2 linked regions of the Nothobranchius furzeri genome follow. The protein of the gene in region 2 purifies or fractionates together with the protein of the main gene of each other region. This does not show direct contact. Links are inferred from orthologs where the notes say so. Each region holds a gene or a part of one and is shown on either strand. Other genes may lie near its edges.

What was found. Proteins that work in one complex are often made in the same cells at the same time.
Region 1: the proteins of ppp2r2ca (region 2) and ppp2cab purify together in Homo sapiens (affinity purification with mass spectrometry; 6 studies listed by BioGRID and IntAct, counting the BioPlex papers as one, with this or other methods). This does not show direct contact. The link is inferred for Nothobranchius furzeri from reciprocal best matches to the Homo sapiens genes PPP2R2C and PPP2CA.

What each region holds. Positions count from the first base shown.
Region 1 is NC_091750.1:60,013,408-60,016,738, forward strand, and holds the end of ppp2cab (serine/threonine-protein phosphatase 2A catalytic subunit alpha isoform), read right to left. Parts: intron 2,074-3,331; coding exon 1,864-2,073; intron 1,782-1,863; coding exon 1,608-1,781; intron 1,520-1,607; coding exon 1,430-1,519; intron 1,345-1,429; coding exon 1,183-1,344; intron 1,094-1,182; coding exon 975-1,093; intron 891-974; coding exon 818-890; 3' UTR 591-817; downstream 1-590. UniProt on the Homo sapiens protein: Catalytic subunit of protein phosphatase 2A (PP2A), a serine/threonine phosphatase involved in the regulation of a wide variety of enzymes, signal transduction pathways, and cellular events.
Region 2 is NC_091747.1:78,433,649-78,437,942, forward strand, and holds the start of ppp2r2ca (protein phosphatase 2, regulatory subunit B, gamma a), read right to left. Parts: upstream 2,895-4,294; 5' UTR 2,606-2,894; intron 2,178-2,605; exon of another isoform or gene 2,091-2,177; 5' UTR 1,944-2,090; coding exon 1,880-1,943; intron 1-1,879. Other genes in the region: hpf1 (histone PARylation factor 1), read left to right, coding at 3,305-3,454, 4,064-4,247. UniProt on the Homo sapiens protein: The B regulatory subunit might modulate substrate selectivity and catalytic activity, and might also direct the localization of the catalytic enzyme to a particular subcellular compartment.

The DNA of each region.
Region 1 (3,331 bases), on a different chromosome or scaffold from region 2:
ATTAAGTTTGCTTGTTTTGGGCAATTGATACTTCTGTTCTCAATACAATCTAATATTATGGAGCACAATAATTTAAATTCACATTTAAATAAATGTATTTTTTATGTCTTCGCCTTGCTGTGTCAGTGTAATTACAACTGGCCAGAGAAATCCAAATATAACTAGACTTTTTACAAGAATGAAGAATAACCAAAAACACAATTCAAGAAGTCATCTTTATTATTCTAGTAGGTTATTATAGAGTCTGAAGCTAAAAGGAAGCAGGTGAGTTGATGAACACTCCATCTTTTCTATAAACCAAGCCATCTGACTGCATGAGAAGGGATTTTCCTAAAACATACACAGGTCAAAAAAAACTGAAGGTTTACATGCAATTTAAAAATAAACAACAAAAAAACTATCAATATCGTGAAATCGTATTAATCTTTTTGACATATTTAACATTTCTTTAACTGTACAAAAGTGCAAACAAATCACATTCAAATCTCAAAAACCATGGTCTGCAGTAGCAAATTAGTCTTGGACTTTGGTGCCGTCAACCCAGCTCCATATGTACAGGAGGAGGAGCCGAGACATCCAGGATGTTCTATTTTGTCATTTCAGATACAATAAATATTTAAGTGATCATGGCACACACCTTTTGGTCCGTTTATAGACACATTTGCTTTTGCGAAATGCTTTAACTAGATTGGATAAACACAACGTGCAACACTGCAGCCTCTCAGGCCTCCATCACGTTGTTTTCAGTTCAAAGTCAGATAGGTTGGTGGTTCTGGACAGGACCGGACCGGACCGTGCGCGGGTCGAGACTGCAGGTTTACAAGAAGTAGTCTGGGGTGCGGCGAGTTACATGGGGCTCTCCTCTGCGAGGCGCTGGATCAAACTGCAAGCTGAGGAGGAACATCAGGAAGAAAAAAAATCACAACTTATTCTAAGATTTCTTTGTCCACTCGTGATGAAATTCGCCTGCTTACAAAGAGTATTTGAGGGTGTCGTCTAGCTCCATGATGGCTGCCTGGTTTCCACAGCGATAGCAGTAGTTAGGAGCACTAAAAATGGTCACCACGTTCCTCTCATGGCACCAGTTGTAGCCCTGAGGTAAGCAGATGTAATATTAACACGCATCTGAACTTAGCGGCACTGCTTCTTTGTTTTTAATCATCTTTGGACACAAAGACAAACCTCCATGACCAGCTGATGGGCGCGGGACACCAGCGTGAGGCGGTTGGCGTGGTTGAACGTTTCAGAGATGTCCTGACCAAATGTGTAGCCAGCTCCTCGGGGAGAGATGCCCCAGCCGCCGCGGTCGTCGGGGTCTGACCACAGCAGGTCGCACATGGGACCCTGCGTGACAACGAGAATGGTCACAAACGTTTTTATCTTTATTGTTTCGTTGCTGATCTGCACCACATTTAACGTCTTTCTTTACCTCGTGCGGCACTTCCTGTAAACGATCCAGAGCTCTGATGTGATCCAGCGTGTCTATAGACGGTGATAAGCCCCCGTGGAGGCAGAAAATCTGAGGAAAAAAAATCGATAATTATAACAAATTATGATGCTTTTCAAAGAAACGTCAAGTTCGGTCTTTTTTATTACGCTCCTCTCACCTGAGAGTCTACCAGCGCAGTGAGGGGGAGGTAATCGAACAAGTCTGTGAAGTATTTCCAAACGTTTGCGTTTCCGTATTTCCTTAAGCACTCGTCGTAGAAGCCGTAGACTTGTGTGATCTGTCTGCTCTCGTGGTTCCCTCTGAGGATCGTGATGCGCTCCCGGAAGCGAACCTGAAACACAAACATCTGTTTACGTCGCGTTTTTCACCCCAAAGAGGAAAAAAAAACTGTTTTAAATGTCTGACAAAGTCACCTTAAGAGCTACAAGTAATGTGACGGTTTCTACAGAGTAGTACCCTCGGTCCACATAGTCCCCCATGAACAGGTAGTTTGTGTCCGGCGATTTCCCACCGATCTTGAACAGCTCCATGAGGTCGTGGAACTGGCCGTGCACGTCGCCACACACGGTCACTGGACATCTCACCTCCTGGACGTTGGACTCTTTGGTCAGGATCTCCTTTGCCTGCAGAAGGAAAGTTGATTAGAGAATTAAAACTTGCACAAGCCAGGCAAAGGCCACCATTTTCTTTTTGTCTTCATTCAGGCACAGCCCACTTCCTGCTAGCGCTTACAACGGCCTCCATCACGTCTCATCAGGATGCTGCACACGGAGCGGGGCTGATAGCATTTTGATGCAGCGACTAGCTTCCTGTGGGGCGACCCTGTGGTGCCCGGACGGGCAGCTCTGGCTGCACGGCAACGTTTCTAAAAATCCATAAATGTGATCCTCCGAAGATTAAAAGGCAAGTGCAGAATAAATTTTAGTGGATTTGCATAAAAGTTTTGGTTCACTTTGATGTTAATTCACATCGGATCAGACAAATTAGATTAACGTGTTAAATTCAGAAAAATAAATGTGATTCTGGATTATTAAAGCATTTTATTTTTACCCATAAATCATCAGAGGGGCCTGACTGGCTGCTGCAGAGCATGACTCAGCATGTGGCCTACAGCCAGAGCCAGAGGAAGTCACCATTAAAATAAGACAGGATTTACCACCAGTTGGCTTGATTGGTAACCTCCAGCTGTGACTGCTTTTATGTTTCCGATTGTTTTACCTTCATGGTAAATCACCCGGAATTTGGCCGTTTGCTGAGTATTTTTGTGAGCTGTGTGACCGTGGATCCCTTCACAAACCAGAGAACGAGTGTGTTCCTTGGCTGGTGGCCAGCTGATGGGATAGAAACCCAGACGGGCCAGGATGGCGCTGCAGCGTTGCACAACGTTGACCTACATTGCATCCAAACTCCACGTGTCCCGACCGGCGTGCGGCAGGAGGCTTCGGGGGCCACACTGAGCCACAAATCTCTAAAGCAAACAGAGGCACTAAGCCAGAGAAGAATATTCTAGGTGTCTGGATGAAAGTGGAACACAAACACACAGGACCCATCTTTGAATGGATGAGGCGACAGGAGATAAAGTGGATCTGTCTGGGTTCCTCATCCTAGTCAAACCGTAGACATATCTACGTCTACGAGTTCACGTCGGTGTCATGGCTCATGATGCCGTCAGCACGAAATGGAACATTAGAAAGGGATCTTTGACGCTGCCGTAGTCATGAAGACGAGCTTTAATTAAGTCCAACGTATCAGGTTCTGAGCCAAACTCGTCCATCAACACCTGCTGGAAACCCTCGGGTCGTTTCAGCTTACGGAGAAATCAGGTGATGTTCAAAAAGAGCAGAAACGATACATGTACTCAAAAAATAAGGACTTTGGGGA
Region 2 (4,294 bases):
AGAACATACACATCTGGATTTAACTAAGCAGCGCCTTCTTAGGGTCCTACAAGCCCCCAGGGTGCTTCACAACACAATCAGTCATTCACACATTCACACCCTGGTGATGATGAGCTGTGTAGCCACAGCTGCGCTGGGGCACGCTGACAGAGGCGAGGCCTGCCAAACACTGGCGCCATCAGTCCCTCTGACCATCACCAGCAGGCAAGGCGTGTTGAATGCCTTGCCCAATAACACAACAGCAGCATTCTCTGGTGGGAGCTGGGATCCAACCTGCAACCCTCCAATTACTGGGCAACTCAGAGAGGTGATGGTGGACACGTCTAGGGTTAGGGTAGGGTTAAGGTTAGAGAGAGCCTTGTGAGCTACTGCTGCCTGAGGTAAGAGCCCCCTATTGGAAAATTGCATGGGCGATTATCTTTCAGCTAATGACAAGTTATTTAACCCCAGCTGGTGAAATGAGTTGCTTCTCATTTCTTAAACAACCATGTGGAAAGGCACATGTGGTGGTCATGGAAAAGATGTTAGTCTGTTTGAGAAGGGTCAGGGTTGTTGGCATGCATCGAGCAGAGAAAGCATCTAAGGAGATTGTAGAAATGACCCAAACTGGGTTAAAGAACTGTCCAACGCATTTTTAAAGACTGAAAGAATAGTGGAGACCCATCGTCTTCGAGGAAGAAATGTAGCTGGGGGGAAAAATCTAGAATGAACGTGATCTGCGGTGCTTTCCCGTTTGGTTAAATCAACAGTAGAAGTCAGGGCTATGCTTAACAGTGAAACTAAGAGCATTTCCACACAAGGGGTGGGGTTAGGGCTGGCTACTAGGACTAAAGCCTCGGATGTTTTTCAGTCTGCCCCTGTTCCACACACAATGCAAAGGGAACTCAGGGGACTGGGAATAAACAGCTGTATAGCTGTAAGAAAACCACTAATCAGTGAGGTAAACCTGGGGAAAAGGATTCAATTTGCTAGTGAGCATAAAGATTGGACTATGGAGTAATGGAAGAAGGTCATGTGGTCTGATGAGTCCAGATGGACCCTGTTCCAGAATGATGGTGCATCAGGGTAAGAAGAGAGGCAGATGAAGTGATGTACCCATCATGCCTACTGTACAAGCCTGTGGGGGCAGTATTATGATCTGGGGTTGCTGCAGTTGGTCAGGTCTAGGTTCAGCAGCAGGATGTGCTCCAAGAATGACGTCAGCTGACTACCTGAATATACTGAATGACCAGGTTATTCCATCTTCCCTGATGACACGTGCATGTTCCAAGAGGACAATGCCAGGAGTCATCAGGCTCAGATAGTGAAAGAGTCGTTCAGGGAGCATGAGACGTCATTTTCACACATGGATCGGCCACCACAGAGTCCAGACCTTAACCCCAATGAGAATCTTTAGGATGTGCTGGAGAAGGCTTTGTGCAGCGGTCAGACTCAACCATCATCAATGCAAGATCTTGGTGAAACATGAATGCAGCACTGGAAGGAAATAAATCTGGTGACGTTGCAGAAGTTTTTTGAAACAATGCCACAGCGAATGTGTGCTGTAATCAAAGCTAAAGGTGGTCCAATGAAATATTAGTGTGTGAACCTTTTCTTTTGATGTTGACTTTTTGGGGGGCCGGACGGTGTCTTAGTAAATACAATTCAAAAGAAAGCATAAATAAGATCCATAAAAAACAGTGAACCTGTGATAAAATATCAATAAAATTTAGAATCACTAAAAACATTATCTTATTTCTAAAGCTCCTAACCACATTTCTATCTTCAGCCTGAGAATTTAAAGATGCAAAATAAGATCAGAGTTTGTCAGAATAAAAAATAAAACCAAGTTTCCTTTTTCAGTCACTCTAATCCGACCCTAGAGGTGAACCCAACTCACCTTCAGTGACGTAGTCTCGCAGGAAGGTGTGGTTGATTTTGGGGTTTTCAGCGTCCTCGCCCATCTGAAGCTGAAGGTAGGTGACCCGCCACCACACCCGTCCTAAGAGGAAGGGTCCAATCTTTGATATCTCGTCCCACCCAGGCTCCGCCCATGCTGCTGGGGCCTACCGTAGTGGCCTGAGGCAAGGCATCCTGGGAAAAGCGACCAGCTGGGAGGAGTAGAAGTTGTGTAAGGAAGAGGGAGGAAAGAGATAAACAGGATTGAATCGAGAAGGTGGAGGAGAGGGGTGGATGGCCTGATGTTGAAGAGGGTTTTGGAAAGGAAAACATGAAAGATGTAGTTAGTTAACTTCCTAAATGGTTGCATGTTCAGTGCTCTTGCTAACATGTGCTTGAATGAATTCATGTACTGTGGAATTAAAACAGGAAACCAAACATCACAAGCAGACACAGAAAACAGATCCATCCGAGGGGAACTGCATGCATTCAGCGAGAAGAGAAGGATGGAGCAAAGATTATATAAAAACATCAAACATTCATTCTGCTGTGCCGGAGGTTGTAAATGATCCCAGGGTGTGGTAGTCCTCCCAGCCCTCTGTCTCCCTCACACACAAACACACACACTTCTCAGATAGATAGTCCTTGACAGAGATCAGAGGAGAACGCGCTGTCTTGCTTGTGCTGCAGGAAGAAGGGGAGGGGGGGGGTTCAGGCCACAGCTCACCTACCAGTCCACCCGCTGCTGCTGATCCTGCTGCTGGTGTTCGTACACGTCCCTCTGCTGCAGTGTGCTCAAGCAGGGCCTCGACGTGTGTGAGTGTGTGTCCGCCGAAGGGAAGGGAGAACGAGCAGGAGAAAAGAGACAGCAAGGGTGGTGGTACGAGGAGGAGAGGCAAAAAGGAGGAGGAAAAGAGAGAGAGAGGGACAGTGAGGAGGAGGATGCAGGAGCGCTGGATTGCTGATGCTGAGGATGTTGTTCTGTGCAGCATCCACCGTGTGTCATGGCAGCCTCCTCTAGGAGAAGCCTATCACAGCACAGCTGTCACTGGTGGCTCCACCCACTGCAGGTGGTGAAGGGTGGGGGGGCGACCAGCAGAGGGAGACATTTAATGAGAATGGAGCGTGGTGGGGCCAGCCACGCTTTAAAATGAGACTGCATTCATTTTTTTATTGTCTAAATTAAACAGCTGAGTCAACTTAAAACTTAATTCATAGAAATGTGTATTTTCCCTTTCATTGGATGATTTTAATTATTAAAACTAACTGTTATTGTTTTTTATTTTTATTTTCTTATATTTATATATATATATATATATATATATATATATATATATATATATATATATATATATATTTGTGTGTGTGTGTGTGTGTGTGTGTGTGTGTGTGTGTGTGTGTGTGTGTGTCTTTAGGTGTAAAATTGATGATGTTTACACCGCCACGCCTCACGGGGGCACTGACGCACGACGTCACGGTGAACCCTCTACCACTGTCTTCAATCTGCAGAAGAAGAAGACGAGACGAGAGGAAGAAAATGACAGGGCGCGCAAAAAGAAAACCCAAAGCTATTCAGGTAATTTCTCCTCCTCCGATAAGCTTCCTGCGCTGAACGTGTCAGGTGAGAAGTCGGGCTCTCCGGGGCAAACGCAGACTTCTGTCTGGTGTCGCTGTTTTCCGGGTACATCTGTGTGAGACCATCGGGCTGAACCGCTGGAGCTGAGTGAGCGGCGGCGCTTCCAGACAACATGGCAGCAGCTGCTTCTCTGCTAAACTGTGTTTCCAGTCTAATCGTGTCCGCTTCGCATTTCTGACACGTGCGTTCGCATCTGGAGCGTTTGAGATGGGTCACCTGTCGCGTGCCCTGCAGGATAACTTGTGCATGTGTGTTTTATCCATAAAAGCTGAGCTTTAGATGGTCTCACGGCTACCTCTGTTCAGCTACTATAATAATGTTCAACCTGCATAAAACACCTTAGGTGTTGGGGACGCAGGACGCCCACTGGTGCACCTGTGTAATAAAACAAACCGTGACTATGGAGGCCATAGGAAACAGGAGGGTGTTAAACTTTAATATAATTAATAATCAGAGAGCAGCAACAGGCTGAGACAGGAGTGACAATGGTGTAACCTGGGTCCACAAACTAAAACTTGTAATTTTTCTTTTCTTCCTCTGATTCATTAGGGGTCGGATTCAGCCAATGGAGAGGTGAAGAGGGTCCGGACTGATGAGTCCACACCTGTGCTGCTGTCAGAAAGGAATCCAGAGCAGCGGGATGAGTTGACCCGGCTGTACGGTTTACAAATGCCAGAAGATCTGTTCCACTTCTGGGATTTCTGCAAGGAGCTTTGTCCCGACAACCCCTGTGGTACGTCCTGACTGCTCTCACCACTGATGGGACTAAAGCTGCAACTG